Linked DNA regions of Arabidopsis thaliana. The protein of the gene in region 1 purifies or fractionates together with the protein of each later gene. This does not show direct contact. Each region holds a gene or a part of one and is shown in the gene's direction. Other genes may lie near its edges.

What was found.
Region 2: the proteins of AT3G13930 (region 1) and LPD1 fractionate together in Arabidopsis thaliana (co-fractionation; one large-scale study listed by BioGRID). This does not show direct contact.
Region 3: the proteins of AT3G13930 (region 1) and AT4G16155 fractionate together in Arabidopsis thaliana (co-fractionation; one large-scale study listed by BioGRID). This does not show direct contact.

Annotation. Positions count from the first base shown.
Region 1 is NC_003074.8:4,593,950-4,601,002, forward strand, and holds AT3G13930 (Dihydrolipoamide acetyltransferase, long form protein), read left to right. Parts: upstream 1-1,817; 5' UTR 1,818-2,085; intron 2,086-2,248; 5' UTR 2,249-2,290; coding exon 2,291-2,323; intron 2,324-2,711; coding exon 2,712-2,805; intron 2,806-3,074; coding exon 3,075-3,139; intron 3,140-3,235; coding exon 3,236-3,321; intron 3,322-3,413; coding exon 3,414-3,454; intron 3,455-3,635; coding exon 3,636-3,691; intron 3,692-3,775; coding exon 3,776-3,850; intron 3,851-3,933; coding exon 3,934-4,026; intron 4,027-4,208; coding exon 4,209-4,448; intron 4,449-4,538; coding exon 4,539-4,611; intron 4,612-4,718; coding exon 4,719-4,819; intron 4,820-4,947; coding exon 4,948-5,033; intron 5,034-5,106; coding exon 5,107-5,182; intron 5,183-5,266; coding exon 5,267-5,334; intron 5,335-5,421; coding exon 5,422-5,488; intron 5,489-5,578; coding exon 5,579-5,674; intron 5,675-5,753; coding exon 5,754-5,856; intron 5,857-5,944; coding exon 5,945-6,040; intron 6,041-6,123; and 3 more. Other genes in the region: EIF4A1 (eukaryotic translation initiation factor 4A1), read right to left, coding at 1-27, 112-180, 298-308; AT3G13940 (DNA binding / DNA-directed RNA polymerase), read right to left, coding at 6,698-7,053. UniProt on the Arabidopsis thaliana protein: The pyruvate dehydrogenase complex catalyzes the overall conversion of pyruvate to acetyl-CoA and CO(2).
Region 2 is NC_003074.8:5,785,874-5,792,402, reverse strand, and holds LPD1 (lipoamide dehydrogenase 1), read left to right. Parts: upstream 1-1,877; 5' UTR 1,878-2,019; coding exon 2,020-2,343; intron 2,344-2,432; coding exon 2,433-2,579; intron 2,580-2,719; coding exon 2,720-2,854; intron 2,855-2,971; coding exon 2,972-3,077; intron 3,078-3,162; coding exon 3,163-3,287; intron 3,288-3,533; coding exon 3,534-3,659; intron 3,660-3,757; coding exon 3,758-3,838; intron 3,839-4,213; coding exon 4,214-4,276; intron 4,277-4,379; coding exon 4,380-4,454; intron 4,455-4,534; coding exon 4,535-4,613; intron 4,614-4,715; coding exon 4,716-4,816; intron 4,817-4,921; coding exon 4,922-5,035; intron 5,036-5,112; coding exon 5,113-5,226; intron 5,227-5,395; coding exon 5,396-5,467; intron 5,468-5,591; coding exon 5,592-5,618; coding exon of another isoform or gene 5,619-5,642; exon of another isoform or gene 5,643-5,712; coding exon 5,713-5,895; 3' UTR 5,896-6,018; downstream 6,019-6,529. Other genes in the region: AT3G16960 (plant self-incompatibility protein S1 family protein), read left to right, coding at 139-349, 458-591; AT3G16940 (calmodulin-binding transcription activator), read right to left, coding at 6,418-6,447.
Region 3 is NC_003075.7:9,153,059-9,158,890, reverse strand, and holds AT4G16155 (dihydrolipoamide dehydrogenase), read left to right. Parts: upstream 1-1,757; coding exon 1,758-2,075; intron 2,076-2,317; coding exon 2,318-2,464; intron 2,465-2,588; coding exon 2,589-2,723; intron 2,724-2,824; coding exon 2,825-2,927; intron 2,928-3,040; coding exon 3,041-3,165; intron 3,166-3,397; coding exon 3,398-3,523; intron 3,524-3,611; coding exon 3,612-3,692; intron 3,693-3,968; coding exon 3,969-4,031; intron 4,032-4,140; coding exon 4,141-4,215; intron 4,216-4,298; coding exon 4,299-4,377; intron 4,378-4,495; coding exon 4,496-4,596; intron 4,597-4,683; coding exon 4,684-4,797; intron 4,798-4,900; coding exon 4,901-5,014; intron 5,015-5,106; coding exon 5,107-5,178; intron 5,179-5,270; coding exon 5,271-5,321; downstream 5,322-5,832. Other genes in the region: ATOEP16-2 (Mitochondrial import inner membrane translocase subunit Tim17/Tim22/Tim23 family protein), read right to left, coding at 153-299, 398-468, 549-582, 756-784, 880-960, 1,081-1,132, 1,224-1,346. UniProt on the Arabidopsis thaliana protein: Lipoamide dehydrogenase is a component of the plastidial pyruvate dehydrogenase complex (PDC).

The DNA of each region.
Region 1 (7,053 bases):
GTGAAGAACTCATCTTGTCCCTCAAGTCTGTATCAATACAGTACAATTAGCAGCTAGAGCATGCGGAGAGAACACACTCAAGAATGAAAAAACAGAAGTAAAAAGACTCACACTTCATTGAGTTTCTGGTCAAACTGACGTGCATCAAACTGTGTGCCTTCTGGTGCAGATCCTGCCATGCTACATAAAAAGAACAAAAACAATCAGATTTCATATCAAAAGGAAGAGAGACAACACCTATTTTGATATCGTTAATAATATGATTGCAAAGGAGGAAATGTGACAAGAAAGCCAAACTCGAAGTCCATAAAGAGAGGAAAACAAGCATTAATATCTGCCTCAGATGATGTGCGGAGAAAATGTATAAAGGCACATATGGTTATCTATTAAACATAGACACCACTCAACCTATTTCTCCAAATTACAAAAAAAAACATTCAATCAGACAAAACCAAGTGAGTGTTAAGACAAGAACATCTGAGCTTTGAAGACGATTCATTTCATTCTATTGAGAGACTAACCTAGCCGTAACAAAATCTACAAACCCATCAACAAATCTACAGATGTGTAGATCCTAAATTTAATAATCGTCATCATCAGCAGCTCAGAATCTAATAAAGAGAACAAAAACGAAAGCACTTCCACAGCAAAAAAAACGATCTTGAAGTAACGAAAAATCAAAACTTCCAAATCAACTCAACAAAGTTGAAACCAAATCTATCGGAAAACACAAAAAAACAAATCAGAACAATCCAAAAGTAAAGAAACAATCATGAATCGTAAAAGTTACATCGAGATAATAGATAGACAATCCGATAGGATGCGAACCTGGAGCAAAGTTGGTAAGCGAGAGTAAAGGGCTTTTTTCAGGGAGCTTGAATCTCCCAAACTCGGATCTGAACCGCGTTGAGAGAGAGAGAGCAAAGAGAAGAGCGAAGATTGCGAGAGACTGGTGGAATATCCGAAAGAGGCTGAGAGAAAACGCGTTACCTTGTTTATATACTCCGTCTTTAGGGTTTTCTCCTTTGGAAATCTTCTCCTTTTCTTTTTCGGATTTCCGGTTTTACCCCTTTATTCCCTTTCTTTTTACTCTTTTGGCTCGGACAAGGTTTTCCAACACTTAGCTCATTGTCTTAACTTGATTTTGGCAAAAATAAATAAACAAATATCTAGTGGGAAATTAGGAACATAAATTCTTCATTTATTTTGTGACTAGCAAAGAAAATATTCTTCATTTATTTTATTTTCTTTTCCAAAGCTTTCTTTCTCCTGCAACTTTTATTGCTTTTTGACGTTACAAAGCATTTTCCCGATTACAACGAGGATATTAGAAGAATAAAGTGACTGATAAGAACGTTTTATCTGAAAATGTCTTTACTTATTAACACATCTATCTCTCTATGTTGAATGTTTAATCATGTAATTGTTCCACAAGTGATATGAAGAATCCTTGAAACGAAGCAAAACACATTGAGTAAGAAGAAGGTAACTAGCTAGTATGAAGAAGCAGCAAGTTGCTATCTATCTTCAACAAAAAATGCTTTGATTTTAGCCTCAAGAGACTTTCTTAGAATCTGTTGCCATTGAAGAAAAAGCTGGAGAGGGCAAAACATAATCATGATGCTTAGGATAAGCAAAAAATATGTATTTAGCTTGTGTAGGTAGAGGAAGAGCTAGGAGTTTTTTGTGTGACAGGAATCGAGGGAAAACGATGGGCCAAAGATTAGGCCCATTAATAAGTTTGACTAATCCCTGCCGTTCATTAGATGCCTACGTAATCACTAACGCACCTGATGATCTCTGTCTTTTGGTGAGACGCAAAAGCTCAGAGAATAATAATAGGGCCCAATATAATAAAGTACAAACCGAAATTTGTGAAGCTTAATTAGTCGGTTTAAATACTTTTATATCGGTTATGGTAGAATTGGTGTTGGTACGATACAATCTGGTACATGTAAGGCAGCATTTTGCCATTTCTGAAAAACCTAAACACAAAACTATCTTCATCATCATCATCAAATCCCAGCTTTCTTCCAAGTGATCCTTCACTCTCTATACTGCGATTTACCGTTCTTCTGACTCTTGGTGAGTTCTAGATCGAATCCTATCTTCCATCCACATATTTACTGTTTCAAAATTGGATTGAGTACAAGTCAAATTCATCGATCTCGATCTCTGATATAGTTGCCGAGGGAAAAAGGAGAAACCCCCTAACAAACATTCCCACCATTTTTTTTGTTATTTGCAGTTGCGAATTCGGATCGGCTGACGCAGCTCCGATTGCACAACAATGGCTTCTCGTATCATCAATCATTCCAAAAAGGTTTCTCTTTCTCTATTTTTCATTTTTTTCTGTGGTTTGACTACCATTTTTGATCTTGTAAAACTGAGTTTATGCATTCGTTCTTATGTGTTTTGCTCTGCCAATCATTTTTTTCTGAACTGAGGTTCGTTTTCCGGGTTTGACTTAATCTAATCATGAATTTGGTATTTTTAATTTGATCATGGGCAATTCTGCATTTTGCTATTGAGAGCTTTAGTAACCTCCTTGTAATCTGAATTGTGATTAATGTAGTAGCTTCGCTTTATGATTCAATTGTGGTATTAGCTATTCATTTTATTAGTACAAGAAGACTCTACTTTTACAGCAGAGTAATTGTATGTTGCTCTTTGTAAACACTATTTTGACGATTGTTGTGTTATCTGACCAGTTGAAACATGTTTCCGCTTTACTGCGGCGTGACCATGCTGTGGCAGTCCGCTGTTTCTCCAACAGTACCCACCCCTCTCTCGTTGGAAGAGAAGGTAATCCAGTCAGCTTTCTTAGTGTCCTCTTCATTGCTATCCTTAAGTTCATTTTATGTAGAAATGTGTGGTGGTTTCTTTTATTTGATACGGTAACAAGCACCACACAGTACTCTGGGATGAATAGTCCAAGTTTGACTTTCACATCGTTTTCAACATGAAGAACATAACAACGTTCCAACTTTAATTAATTGAAAGTTGGTATGTTTTGAGTATATATTATGCTTCTCGCTTAAGCATTTATTTTTCTATTTTTATTTGGTCTTCAGATATCTTCAAGGCCCGCCTGAATTATTCCTCTGTAGAGAGAATTTCAAAATGTGGTACTGGCAATGTAAGTCCCTGCTGTTCAGTTTCCTTTCTCGTCTTTGCTTTGTCACGTAATCGTCTGTGTTTTTTTGGTCGTAATGTCATTAGCTGCATTATATAGGTAACAATGCTTAGTGGTATTTCAACAACGAGCACAAAACTAAGCAGCCCAATGGCAGGACCAAAACTATTTAAAGAATTTATAAGGTATGTAATCCATTTACCGATGAGAATACAACTTGCTACCTTCCTGTATGAATACTTCTATCCTAACTGTAAGCTTCTTTTCTTGCTTTTAGCTCCCAGATGCGATCAGTGAGAGGATTTTCATCCAGTTCAGGTATTTAGTTCTTTATTGTAACTTCCCGCTTGTTCTAACATATATTTTCACTTGAATTGTACTTTTTTTTGTGAGCATCTGACTTGGTTTTTGTGCCTTTTGCGGCCATCATATTTCTGTCACTGTGTATATGCAGCATACATGGTTTGTTTTACTGATAACTTTTTAAAATATGTTTCAGATCTTCCTCCTCATCAAGAGATTGGAATGCCTTCTCTTTCGCCAACAATGACTGAGGCATGTACCTCTGAATACCTCTTACGAAAATTAACATGGTTTATTGTTTTATCATTCTACTAAAGATATCTGTTGAAACTTCAGGGTAACATTGCCAGGTGGCTGAAGAAAGAAGGTGATAAAGTTGCTCCTGGTGAAGTGCTTTGTGAAGTTGAAACTGTAATGATAATCCTGATTGAATCTCTTCCTGTATTGATTCTTATGCCAGGAATAAAACACTTATCTCAATCTTAATATTTTAGGACAAAGCAACAGTCGAAATGGAATGCATGGAAGAGGGTTTTCTCGCCAAGATAGTAAAGGAGGAGGGGGCAAAAGAAATTCAAGTTGGGGAGGTATGAGAGTTTCTGACTTTTGGAGACTTGTTAATTATAATGGGTTCTCATGAAGTATTTGATTGTGAGCCCTATGCTCCCTTTAGTTGAAGATCAATGAATATTCAATAAAAATGACAAAGATCTTTATCTTCATTTGTAGAATCACATATAAATGGTCCCTTTTTTTTTTGTCCAACTAGGTGATTGCTATCACAGTTGAAGATGAAGATGATATTCAAAAGTTTAAAGATTACACACCCTCATCCGATACTGGTCCCGCTGCGCCTGAAGCAAAACCAGCTCCTTCCCTACCAAAGGAAGAGAAGGTAGAGAAGCCAGCCAGTGCTCCTGAAGCCAAGATCTCTAAGCCAAGCTCAGCTCCTTCAGAAGATCGTATTTTTGCCAGTCCTCTTGCAAGAAAGTTGGCTGAAGATAATAATGTCAGTTTCCAGACGAAAAATATTAGTTAAGCTCGTGTTAGATCTCCATCTCTAATTTGTTTTTCCTACTTTTCCTTTGAAAAACATTAGGTACCTCTCTCAAGCATTAAAGGCACAGGTCCTGAAGGACGGATAGTGAAGGCTGATGTCGAAGATTTCTTAGGTATCAGAAATCCTTGGCTCTTCCCTCTTCTTACATTTTCCCCTCTCGTTACAGAATTTACCTCATCCCTATGTTCTAAATTTCTAATACATCTTCCTATGGTACAGCTTCAGGCAGTAAAGAAACTACTGCCAAACCTTCCAAGCAAGTGGATTCAAAGGTTCCAGCTCTTGACTATGTTGACATCCCTCACACTCAGATACGAAAGGCAAATACCTATACAACCTTATATCTTGATTGCTTGTGGTATTTCTAGATTACCTCGACCATATATCTCTCTGTTTTGTACTATAAGCCAAGAATTCCGAAGTTTTGTTAATTGTATAAATTTGACAGGTCACAGCCTCACGTTTGGCATTCTCAAAGCAAACTATTCCTCACTACTACTTGACCGTGGATACATGTGTTGACAAAATGATGGGGTAAGTATTAAGTTTTAGATCATATATTTTGATTAGGTAAGTGGATGCTAAACATAGCTATTTTTATATGCAGTCTTAGGAGTCAACTCAATTCATTTCAAGAGGCTTCCGGTGGGAAAAGGATATCTGTAAATGATCTTGTTATTAAGGTGCATCTTACTTCTTTTCTTGCAAGTCTAATTAAATCTCATTTTGTTCTCCATTATGAAACCTTTTCTTTTTCGAAATTGCAGGCTGCTGCACTGGCTCTTCGAAAAGTTCCTCAGTGCAATAGTTCATGGACAGATGAATACATCCGCCAGTAAGTACATATTCTGTTTCAGAGGTTCATGAAAACTTTGCAAATCATCTAGTTTCTTGGTTCTTATTTTCCTCCTTTTATGTACAGATTTAAAAATGTGAACATCAATGTCGCTGTACAAACAGAAAATGGGCTCTACGTTCCTGTGGTCAAGGTTAGGGAGCTCTTGATACAGTTATTAACCTTCCTCTGCAGAAACTTGAGATTTCTGAAAAACTCAGTTCATCTAATTGCTTGATTTCAGGACGCGGACAAGAAAGGACTGTCTACAATTGGAGAAGAGGTTCGATTCTTGGCTCAAAAAGCAAAAGAAAACAGCTTGAAGCCGGAAGATTATGAGGTTGGTTTAGAATTCGGTCAATCTCACTAGCATAATACTGCTGTGAAAGCAAATCAGCTCAAACTGTTTCTTCTGACAGGGAGGAACATTCACAGTCTCCAACCTGGGGGGACCTTTTGGCATCAAACAGTTCTGTGCCGTCATCAATCCACCTCAAGCAGCCATTCTAGCAATCGGATCTGGTAAGTCCTTAGCATACTCATCCACTTTATCCGTTGAAGTTTCTTCCGCGTAACTTATTATAGTGTTGGTGTCTGAATCTCAAAACAGCTGAAAAGAGAGTTGTTCCCGGTACTGGTCCAGACCAATACAACGTTGCTTCATACATGTCTGTAACACTAAGCTGTGACCACCGCGTAATAGATGGTACAGAATCCGCCTCTCATTCCTATTGTCATTATTAATCATCACCTCATCGAAAACGTCTAATAAGTCATCTTCCTGTGCAGGTGCAATTGGAGCCGAGTGGCTGAAAGCATTCAAGGGCTACATCGAGACCCCAGAATCTATGTTGCTCTAAAATTCAGACGCACACACACATCAAAAGCTAAACTCATAAGAGTCTTCTGACCTCAAATTTCTTTCCCACAACATATTCTACCAGATTTGATCAGCAGTAGGCAATGGCCTTTAAAGTTGAGTGTTTTGCTATTCTTTAAATCATTGAGTTGACAGATTTTTGTCTCAAAATAAAATCAGGAATCCAACAATTTCACTGTGCACTTGTTTTTTGGCTTAATGCTTGTTCATCATGGGTTGGCAAAATAAAACCCATTTACTTAATTTTATTAATCAACTCCAATAAATATCTCTTTCTTCTAATAAAATGTCACTTAGTTCACTATCATGGACTTAGAGCAGTTTGCTTGCTTAAATGCCAAAACATCATATATCATTAAACCCAAGAAACAGATGTCTTAGGAACTAAAACAATTTATAATATCTCAACAGACCGTCAAAGAAATATCATTAAAATAGCAGAAAATATGTAAAGATAGAACAAAATCTTCTCCTAGATCGTCATCACTTTCGTGCCCTGCGCCTCCGGTTAACCTCCGGGAAATTGAGAGGGGTCGGTAAGGTAGCAACCGTAGTAGAATTCTGCTTCAGGAATTTGCAGCCAAGCTGTAGAAAATGTTTCCTCAGCTCAACTGTGCTTATCCTCAGATCTTTTGCTATGTCTTCTGGATCGGTCATGAAATTATCCACGTGAAGGGATAGCACAAGAACGTAGCTTATCAGAAGGTTGATCTTGTCAACAGGTATCCTATCTGATTCAGAATCCTTGAACATGCTGTTGAATTTTTGACGGAAGATGTCTGGCATCTTGTGGTCTTTAGCGGAATCGTAACCATTCATTGAGTTTCTGTCCTTGAACT
Region 2 (6,529 bases), 1.2 Mb from region 1:
AGTCAACAAAACAAAGAAGCTTGTTAGGGAAACATAATCAATAAAGTTTGGTATTATAAATACAATAAAGTACTAAGTGGAAAGAGTCCATATTCAATATACTTTCATATTGCAAGGAAAACAAAAAACAAAAACAACATGGGTGCTCTAGCAGAACTTGTAGCTCTCATTATCGTTATGTGTGCAAGTGTAACAATGTCCCTCGCTCAAAACCCCATGGCTTCACCACCAAGTGTTGAGAACCCAAATACAACAGTGGTGATACATAACGCTCTTTCAGGTTATTGGCCAATGGCATACCATTGTGCATCAAAAGACGTTGATTTTGGACTCCGACGTATGCTAGCTGGTGGATCGTGATCATTTGAATTTACACCCAGTGTTTCTGGAGATACTAAATTCATTTGCACTTTTGCTTGGAGACTAGTGTTTCGTTATTTCCGTATATACATACAAGAAAGAGACCAAGAATCTGCAATGTTTGGATGCAAAAGATGCGAATGGAAGATACGTGAAGAAGGACCTTGCAAACTGAACAAAAAGACTGGAATGTTTGATCTTTGTCCTCCTTGGGATTCTCAAAATATTTGAATTTTTTTTAACATTACTGCTCTGTGTAGCTACCTTTATTTATCTAACAAATAAATTAATAAAATAAAATAAAACATTTGATCTTTAAAATCGATTTTTTGGAGCCTTTTATTCGGTATATACCGAAGTTAATATAGAAAAAATCAAGTTAACACAATTGCATTTTCTTGAAACACAGAGAATTTAAGCATAATGATCATAAACATGTTACCATTTACCAAATGACTTTATCATGCTTCTTTGGCTACTTGAGCAAGAGGATCTACACCATTTTTAGAGCAGAAATACACTCCAAAAAAAAGTAACTCAAGTCTCAAGATGAGTTGCTAGCACCAAAAGATATTGCGCGGCGCTGGCTTCAACAAAATCTGATCTACGTTTCACTAGACCAACAACTAAAATAGGGTGGTCGTCCTCGCTTTTGTGCTCCAGAATTCGTCCATTACTGGTTGGTGAATACAAAGCAAAAAATTACGAAAACGTACTTGAAGTTGTGAACTGTTTTATATAATTTACCTTTCTTCAAAACGCCATAGAAGCATAGAACGATCGTGTAACAACCATGCACGTCAAATCTCAGGGAAAAGTCCATGTAAGATTGTCCCTTCCTTATCATACATACATGTCCTTAACTAAAGAAGGTAATTTCCAATATGCGTCAACCTCGGCCCACGGCTGCACCAGGACAACATGAAAAATAAAATTAAAAACCATTAAGGAAAAAAGCAAGCAATTTGTTTCATGAATATTTATGCATAGATATAATTAATTACCTTGCTTGTTTTTCAGGTGATGGATTATATAAATTACCACGGCTATATTTTGTAAAGTCAAAGAATTCGTTGATTGGACGACGCTGCAGCGAGCCTTCTTGGCAGTAGTGGTTAATGAGTTCCCATGCGAGTTCCACATTCTTCATCGAAATCAACATCTTGCTGGCTACTTTTAATTCACTACTAGAACTGTCGAGCAAGTAATAACATAACCCTAATGAAACAAATTACACGATCTTATGAGCGTGAAGTGGCTACGAGGTATTTCATAAAGCATTTTAATTTTGAAAATCAACTTCACTATCCAAAAAGTTCCTAAAATCTAGAGAAACTAGTTTTTTAAGCGATTTGTTTTTAAGTTTGTTACAAAATCCAAAAATTAATTTAAATATATATTCACAGCCAAAAATGGGCTACGAGGTCTATTGACCCAATGGGCTTTTTAAGACTTAAACCAGGTTAGAAAAAATGAAAGAAAAGTCGTAAATGCCTCGTGTACAAAAAAAAGTGGTTAAACAAAACAAAACAAACAAACAAAGCGGGCTTTGAAAACTCCGCCTCCGTTTGTTGGCTATTTACACTCACTCTGTCTCCGCCGGTAGATTTGTCAGCTGCGTCTTCCTCGTTTTCTCTCTCTCTGTCTGTGTCTCTTAGAATGCAATCAGCTATGGCGCTTTCGTTCTCCCAGACGTCGTTTACAAGACCAAACCACGTGCTCGGATCATCTGGTTCTGTTTTCTCTACGCCCAGAAGTCTCCGGTTCTGCGGACTCCGGCGGGAAGCGTTTGGTTTCTCAACGTCGAATCAGTTGGCTATTCGCAGTAACCGAATCCAATTTCTAAGTAGGAAGTCATTCCAAGTCTCCGCTTCTGCTTCAAGTAATGGTAATGGCGCTCCACCGAAATCTTTCGATTACGATTTGATCATCATCGGAGCTGGAGTTGGTGGCCACGGAGCTGCTTTGCACGCCGTTGAAAAGGTTTGAAGTTTCTTATATAACCTGATTTGATGAAAGTAAAAGATTTGCTCTGCTTATTATGGAAACATTGGTGATTTTGTTTGTGTTAGGGACTTAAAACAGCCATTATTGAAGGAGATGTTGTTGGAGGGACTTGTGTTAACAGAGGATGTGTGCCTTCTAAAGCTCTTCTTGCTGTTAGTGGTCGAATGCGGGAACTTCAGAACGAACATCACATGAAGTCCTTTGGTCTCCAGGTAAATATCAACTCATGTTCTCTGTTTAAAGTTGCAAGCTTTGTCTTTGGTGTGAAATGGTTGTAGAAGATCGAGCTAGTTCAGGAATTACTCATTACCTTTCACTATCTTATGGTTTTTGGTTTTCCTTTGGGAAACAGGTTTCAGCTGCTGGATATGATCGTCAGGGTGTGGCAGATCATGCTAATAATCTGGCTACCAAAATACGAAACAATCTGACCAATTCAATGAAGGCAATTGGTGTTGACATATTGACTGGATTTGGCAGTGTTCTGGTCAGTACTCAGTAGTACGTTCTATTCTTTCACGTTTACTAACTGTAGACAGGAACATGATACAAACTTTTCTTAAACGATGATCCTAACTCATATCAATATTTTGTATTTCTGCAGGGTCCACAAAAGGTTAAATATGGGAAGGACAATATTATTACTGCAAAAGATATAATCATTGCCACTGGATCTGTGCCGTTTGTCCCTAAAGGAATTGAAGTTGATGGTACGTTTCTTGTTTTGGACGTAGAGTTGTTAAGGGAGCATGCAGACTTGATTATTCCTTGAATGTTTACATTTTGGCGCTGCAGGAAAGACTGTGATCACCAGTGACCATGCTTTGAAATTAGAGTCTGTCCCTGAGTGGATTGCAATTGTAGGAAGTGGTTATATTGGTCTTGAGTTCAGTGATGTTTACACAGCTCTTGGAAGTGAGGTAACATGATGTTTCTGTACTAATGATATTACTTTAGTACGACTTTGTGATGTTGTGTCCTTGTACTTGAGATTGTAATAACTGCAATTAGCAATGTTCTCCAATTTTCTAGTTCTTTGTTTGGTCTCTTCCTGTATTGAGCTTGTTTTTGTGTAAATAGTAGAAAATAAGATTTTAAGGTACCAATCTGTTGGTTTTTCGATTTAAATTGTAGTTACTGATCGAAAACGGAAACCTTTTGTGCAGGTAACTTTTATAGAAGCACTGGATCAGCTAATGCCTGGATTTGATCCTGAGATCAGTAAGCTAGCTCAGAGGGTTTTGATAAATCCAAGAAAGATTGACTATCATACTGGAGTCTTTGCAAGCAAAGTGAGCCTGTTATATCATGCATTGCAAATACTGCTTCTCTTTCTCTATACAGTGTGTCCATGTATTCATCTGTTAAACTTAAATCTATTCTTATTCAGATTACTCCGGCAAGGGATGGGAAACCAGTTCTGATTGAGCTTATTGATGCCAAAACCAAGGAACCTAAGGATACTTTGGAGGTAACCAAATGGAATTTAAAAGATAACATGATCTGATGTCTCACAAAGAGAATATTTAACAGTTACTGGGTCCTTAACATGATCTGATGTCTCATGCCTGAATTGGGAAGATTTGTGCCGTTGGTAGTGGGTCCTTAGAAGTCTTGTTTTTCACTTTTTTGCTTTTCGCTGCAGTATTAACCACATTGTTACTCTTCCCACAGAAATGTAAGTATACACATTATGCATAGGTGGATTAGTAAAGCTTCTCATTTTCTGAATTTATTGTGGCCTTTCGTCTCAAGATAGAATATAAATAGTCATGTCTTTTGGTTTCTTTTCATTGTACCATGTGATTTTCTGCGCTGAAAGTGTAATTTTGTTTTCCTTCTCCAGGTAGATGCTGCTCTTATTGCTACTGGGAGAGCTCCATTCACCAATGGACTTGGCTTGGAAAATGTATGAAATGACACTAAATCCCACCTTTTAGTATTGTCATTTTGGTTACCAGAGAATGTTTAGTTGTCAGAAAATTAACCTTGAAGCTGTCATCTCAATGCAGGTCAATGTTGTGACGCAGAGAGGTTTCATACCAGTTGATGAGCGAATGCGTGTGATCGATGGAAAGGGGACTCTGGTCGGTTTTATTTGCATATACATACCTTTTCCTTGTCAGCAATTCTTTCTATATGCTAAATTCATTTCTACTTGTGATAGGTTCCGAACTTGTACTGCATTGGTGATGCCAATGGTAAATTGATGCTTGCACATGCAGCCAGTGCCCAAGGAATTTCTGGTAAATGGCTTATCAGTAGGAGGCTACTAACAATGCAATAATATTTTCCCTTTTTTCTTCTTGAGCCTTGTATTAAACTCTGAGCTCTTACTCTGTGGCTAGTGGTCGAGCAAGTCAGCGGCAGAGATCATGTGCTTAATCATCTTAGCATCCCAGCTGCTTGCTTTACTCATCCTGAAATCAGCATGGTGGGATTAACAGAGGTAGTTTTATATCCTAGTACTTGTGTACAGAAGAGGGTCAAAAAGAAGAATGCTATGAGCAAAATATGCTTACTGTAACTCCTTATGTTTTGACATTATTGCTAGCCTCAAGCAAAAGAAAAAGGCGAGAAGGAAGGATTTAAAGTTAGTGTTGTCAAGACAAGTTTCAAGGCTAACACAAAGGCCCTAGCTGAAAATGAAGGAGAAGGAATAGCTAAGGTGGGAGAAGCAAAAGTTGTTGATTTATTTATGTCTCATGAAAGAACATAGAGATCTCATTGCTTTTCATTATGCAGATGATATACCGACCTGACAATGGTGAAATCTTAGGAGTTCATATATTTGGACTGCATGCAGCTGACCTTATCCATGAAGCTTCTAATGCGATTGCTCTAGGAACGCGTATTCAGGTAGGATTTCATTGATTAGTGATTACTATTGAATCTAGCTCGTAGCCTTTGATATTGATAATATCCTACAGCGAAATCAAGTCATATACATAGTTCCTGCTGAAACTACTAAACGCATTATTTGTATCTGTTTCTTGATCCCCTGCATGTTTTAATGGTATCTCTGCAGGACATAAAATTGGCAGTTCATGCACATCCAACACTCTCTGAGGTCCTCGACGAACTGTTCAAAGCAGCCAAGGTAAAGCAAAACAGTCTCCTCATGCCATTGATCAGAGAGCCCCTTTATTCTTAACTGCAATCAATAGATTTAAGTCCTCTACTAAAAAGCAAAAGAATCTTACACTATAAGTTCAATTTTTCAGGTTGAAAGTCATGCTACGACAAGGACAGTAAGTGAAAAAGTGGTTGTATAATAAGAAACCAAAAACTTATTGGGGTGGGGAGAAACATCTTGAAGAAAGAAAATTTGTGATTGTACTTTAGGGAGATGCAAAGATAAAGCTAAACACGAACCAGGAAGATCGAAAAGGAAGAAGAAGAGGAGGAGATGATGAGAAACAACCTTCCGTAAGTAAAGACTTGAAAGATATATCTACAAGGCCTTCTTCTTTCTTTGAGAATATTTCTGTTGGAGTCTTGTCTCTGCTTTCACTTATATTTGTTTAATTGTTCCATGGTTTCAATTAGTGGAGATTGTGGTTTTGGTTATTGTATGTTTGTTTGATGTGAACGATTTTGGATGATTCTTCTCTTTTTACTAGTAAAATCACTTGTCTGTCCATTATTATCAATCAGATTCAGACGTGAAGTGACAGATGAACCTAGTTTTTTTTTTTGTCAAACAAACAAACAAGATGAACCTAGTTTAATGTACAAATGTTCATAAGATATTTCTCTGGTTACTTGCAATTTTATTCTACAAATATACAAGTCTAGATTACACCAAAGTCACATAGGAACCCAGTTACAGAAATAGACAAATAACTACAATACCTATTTGTTAATTCTGTCTCTCTTTTTCATACAACAGAGATTAGGTCTCGTTATGTATACTTTATTCTAAACCAGTTGCAGAAAGATCGAGAGTAGCCTTTCCCATTCACATAATTTACAGATCAATTACCATCCATGTTTAACAATCAACACCAAACTCTCTTTGACTCACCTCTCCATAGCCATTTTGATGTATCAAATATCTTCCAGGCAACCGTACTCCAACTGTGTCACACCATAACAAGACTCGTTAATTCAAGTATGAACTTATCTCCGGTTAGAGTTTTTTTTTCCAAAACTGAGATTC
Region 3 (5,832 bases), on another chromosome or scaffold:
TTTTCCAAACAGATAACAAAACGATCTCTCTCCAGCTTCGAGAGTTTCAGGAAAAGATCTTAGTAGACCTTTAGCGAATTCGTTTTCACAAAAAGAAACATAACTGATACATGAAACAACCCTTATGCATTAAAGCTTCTAATACAAATCATCTAGAAAACGCTAGAAAGGAGATTAGCAGCGGTGGAAATAGCTGCTCCAGTGAGAGCAGACTGAACCACTTGCTCATGGCTTGTCCTCTCAGACGTCGTCATAGCCATTGCCGCTCCTGTCAATGCTCCAGCTACCGCGCTGTTCCGCTGTGACACATATCAAATTACATACTAATTAAAGATCATGTTCATCATTTGTTCGTTGATGAAAACAAAATGACACAAGTCAAATTAATTAGACTAACCCAATCATGAGCTCCTCCACGAACCTCTGTCATACCGTAAGTGATACCTGAGTATAACCCTGCCGCTAGCCCTACCATTCCCAAATCATTAAATCTCTTTCCAACGTTAATCGTGAAGCGTTAACTTAATCAAATTCATATATAAACTCACCCCATTGGAGAGATTCTTTTCCTGTGTTCTTCACCTATAGGCCAACAAATTTAAACATTTTCAGTTAACTAACAAGAAACCTTATGAGTTACGACCATTCTTTATGTATTATTTTGCAACACTTAGATATGAACACACTAGCACACTAGCACACGAATATTTGACGAATAATAAAAGGCTAATAATTAGCGATTGTAATAAACTCACCAATGCATCAAGAGATTTGCTGCTTTCCCCTGATTAAGAAAACAACGATAAAACATCATTAAGATAAACATAATGCTGATTACATAAGATCATCAACCAAATATGATACAATTATGTTACGGACCTCTGAGATTAGGGAACCTATGTTTCTTGTTCCCTGTAATCTCCGACGGTGGACCCACGTTGTTCGAGTCAAAACCTGCCCCTAAAATGTATAATCAAACTAAAGTACGTTCTCTATTTATTCATTTTCACTCTTACATTACATACTCATTTCTTATACATATAAATCATAAGTAAGAAGAAACCCGCCGGAGTTTCTTACCGTCAACCACGGTAAAGTAAGCTTCCCTTGACACGGCTTGTAAAGCTCCCACCTTCATAGTTAATCCATATTAAGCTATGTTACTACATATATGTTACATGCATATACGACAGGGAAACGAAGAGATATGGATGAAAACTTACTCCGGCGGCTTTAACGAAGGAATCTGCGATACGGTTAAGAAGAGGATGACCAAGATCGAACAAGTGTGCCTTCTCAAAGCTTCTTATCTCATCCATTACAATTCTTCCTCCACTCTTCTCCATTTTTTTCTTTCTTTCTTCACTTGTTGCTTCTCTCTTTCTCTGTTAATACTTCTCTCTTCAACAACAAGTAAGGAGAAGATTGTGAAACAGAACAGCGTTCTTTTGACACGTGTTCTGCTTTTCCACACGTGTCGGAGTCTGCCGTTTGAACTGTTCGCCGTTCTCCTTCCCCACGTGGCTCTCACAAGATAACGTCAGGCAGACCGAGAAATAAAAGGCCCAATGGGCTCAGAGTTGGATATTATAGCCGGGAATTTTGAAATCTCCGGTTTAAAGACGAGAAACGTGACACGTGTCATCTCCGCTTTGATATCTCCGCCTCCGCTCGTCGGAGTGAGACTAGTACAGACTTGTCATCTCCGTCACTCCCTTTTTCTCTACACAGATCTCTCATTCACTCTCTCGTACACAATGCAATCGGTTCTTTCTCTTTCCTTCTCACAAGCATCGCTTCCTTTAGCGAATCGTACGCTTTGTTCATCCAACGCAGCTCCTTCTACGCCGAGAAATCTCCGGTTCTGTGGACTCCGGCGAGAAGCGTTTTGCTTCTCTCCGTCGAAGCAATTGACCTCGTGCCGTTTCCATATTCAGAGTAGGAGAATCGAAGTCTCCGCCGCTGCTTCTTCTTCCGCTGGAAATGGAGCTCCATCGAAATCATTCGATTATGATTTGATCATTATCGGAGCTGGAGTTGGTGGCCATGGAGCTGCATTGCACGCCGTCGAGAAGGTCCTCTTTCTTCCTCTTATTAATTAGGAAGAATTCAAGTTCGATTATGATTCTATGCTTTGCCAATACTCTGGATCAAATTGATAGTGGAATCATATGCTTTGTTTGATAGAGATGGTTCAGGAATGCTTTGCAACATCTTCTTCAATATGCCAATTTTGGAATCGTACTAGCTATTACTGTATTTCTTTACGGTATTCATGATCTCATCGAGTGATTGTTGTTTTGATAACGTTGTATAGGGACTCAAAACTGCTATCATTGAAGGAGATGTTGTTGGAGGTACTTGCGTTAACAGAGGCTGTGTGCCTTCCAAAGCTCTACTTGCTGTTAGTGGTAGGATGAGGGAACTCCAGAACGAACATCACATGAAGGCTTTTGGTTTGCAGGTAGTAAAAATTCCTGTAGAATGCAATTGTAGACGCTCAATTTTGATCTCAAATCATTGTGAAGCAAGTATCATCTTCCTGGCCTTGACTCTTGTTTCCTTCCATTGACTCCCTTGGAAAACAGGTTTCAGCTGCTGGTTATGACCGCCAAGGTGTGGCTGACCACGCAAGTAACCTGGCTACCAAAATTAGGAATAATCTCACCAATTCTATGAAGGCACTTGGTGTTGACATATTGACAGGGTTTGGCGCTGTTCTGGTCAGTATGTTATTGTCTTTGGTTGACTATATAAACTCCAAATGATAGGTCGTTGTTATGTGGTGATCCTAATACTCTTTAGTCTTTTGTGCACTTTGCAGGGCCCACAAAAGGTTAAATATGGTGACAATATTATCACCGGAAAAGATATAATCATCGCAACTGGATCTGTACCGTTCGTCCCGAAAGGAATTGAAGTTGATGGTATGTGTTTTTGTATAAATGATATGTGAAAGGGGAGTTGCCTCAAAAACCAAAGCTTCTCATTTCTTTTAGTATAGCAAGTACCCTAATATTCCTCATATTTTGTGCTGCAGGAAAGACTGTTATCACAAGTGATCATGCATTGAAATTGGAGTCCGTTCCTGACTGGATTGCGATAGTAGGAAGTGGTTATATCGGTCTTGAGTTCAGTGATGTTTACACGGCCCTTGGAAGTGAGGTAACATTTTGATTTTGTGCTAATGATTTGCACTGGTGTGATAGTGTGTTGTTTTTTGCGTTCTCTTTAGTTTTCTGTTTTCTCTCAATAGTAACAAAAGGCTCTTAGGATGTTGTTGTATTGGTAACCTGATCGAGCAAATGGGCGATAGCTATATTTTGCTTAAGGTTTGTGATGCTCTGCAACTCCAGGAAGTGACCAAGCTCAGGGGAACTCTTTTTTTTTTTTACAGGTAACTTTTATTGAGGCACTGGATCAACTAATGCCTGGATTTGATCCTGAGATCAGTAAGCTGGCTCAAAGGGTTCTAATAAATACAAGAAAAATTGACTACCATACTGGAGTATTTGCAAGCAAAGTAAGCCTTTTTGTCTCATGCATTTTAAATTAGATATCTTCCTTACACAGTGGGTTTACGAATTTTTTTTGTTAACGCTTCTTTACAGATCACTCCAGCAAAGGATGGGAAACCAGTGCTGATTGAACTAATTGATGCCAAAACCAAGGAACCCAAGGATACTTTGGAGGTAACAAAATGTTCTGCAGATATCTGAAAATTTACAAGAGAAAATAGTTGTCTAGTTACTCTCACACATGTTCTTTTCACATGCAAAGTATATAAATCAATGACATGCATACTTTTGTAGGTTAGCCAGGGCTTTTCGTATTATAAAATCAGATCTTTTCCTAAAAATTAAAATAATAATAATAATAATAGAATGTCTTGGAGTTACAATCACATTTGAGACTTTCATGTGTTTTTTGCCTGCACTGAAAGTTTGACCATAAGTTCCTTGTTCAAGGTTGACGCTGCTCTAATTGCTACTGGAAGAGCTCCATTCACCAATGGTCTTGGCCTGGAAAATGTATGAATTAACAATAAACCCCATTCCTTATGAATATGTTTTCATTTTCGTTCCCTGAGGACCTTATTTGGTTACTAAAGAAATAATAAAAGCTGTGATTTCCTCACAGATCAATGTTACCACACAAAGAGGTTTTATACCAGTTGATGAGCGAATGCGTGTTATTGATGGAAATGGAAAGCTGGTTAGTGGAGTTTTCTTTCATATAGCTTATTTCTTACCAAAAGTTATATATTTTTAAGCTACTGAGTCACTCTTGGTTGATAGGTTCCCCACTTGTACTGCATCGGTGATGCCAATGGTAAACTGATGCTTGCTCATGCAGCTAGTGCTCAAGGAATTTCTGGTAAATGGTTTTATCAATATTTCACTCCAAATGCATCTTTCTTTTGTTTTTCCTTTTCTACACTGAATACGTTAGATTGACCTTTATTAAACTCTATGCATCTACTTGTGTTGGCTAGTGGTGGAGCAAGTCACAGGTAGAGATCATGTGCTTAATCATCTTAGCATCCCAGCTGCTTGTTTTACTCATCCTGAAATAAGTATGGTGGGATTGACAGAGGTAACCTCTAGACACTCTTAGTGGATTGGTTTTTAAAAAATTGCAATCCTAATTTATGATTTCGGTAATCTTTAATGCAATTCCCAGCCTCAAGCGAGAGAGAAAGCTGAGAAAGAGGGATTCAAAGTAAGTATCGCCAAGACAAGTTTCAAGGCAAACACAAAGGCCCTAGCCGAAAATGAAGGAGAAGGACTCGCTAAGGTGAAGAGAAGAACCAAAAATTGAAATAAAAAAAGATAGTTGTATATAGTTCTGGAGTGACTTGCGAAGATAAGATATCTGAACACTCTCTTCATGTGAACAGATGATATACAGACCTGACAATGGTGAAATCCTTGGAGTTCATATATTTGGATTGCATGCTGCTGATCTTATCCATGAAGCATCAAACGCGATTGCTTTAGGAACACGTATTCAGGTCTGGCTGCAAACTAACCTCTCTCCGGTATTGATCATAGGACTTTAGATTGTGAGCTTTTTTTGTGTGTCTTTGTGTGATGATAAATGCAGGACATAAAACTTGCTGTTCATGCACATCCAACACTGTCTGAAGTTGTAGACGAACTGTTTAAAGCAGCCAAGGTAAAATACAAGAATCTACATTTGCATTCTCTAATCAATAGACATCGAATCTCGATTAAAAGGCAAGCAACTCCTGTCTATATCAATTTCAGGTCGATAGTCCAGCTTCAGTAACAGCACAAAGTGTGAAAGTTACTGTGTAAACATGAAGAATTTAAGAGCAGCCTGTAACAAAAGTTTTGTGGAAAAGACATTTGTACTTCACCAATATTCATCAAAGGACGAAGATTGCGTCTCTAGTTTCATCACGTATATTTGTTTCATGGTTTTGACAAACTGTATCTTTATTAGATTAAAAAAAAAAACAGATTGTGACAGACACAAAATTAAAGTATATTTATTATAAGTCAGAAATCCAAAATATATAACAGAAGAAAGACAGTAAGCAGGAGAACTTTTAGACAAACTAAAAAACGTTTTAGCTTTTTAGCGTCAAATCTCACAAGTCACATAACGCAATACAAGACTATCCACCAAACAAAAAGAAAAACTAACGACAAGACGCTCTATGGAAATTTCCCAGCTCCAGGATCAATTTACCACAACACCCTTTGAAACTTTTCTGAAAACCGCTTCTTAAAAGGTCGAAATTGCCCCTCGTCATTTGCACAAATTTACAGTTCCTCCACAACACAACACACCCACTCCTCCTCT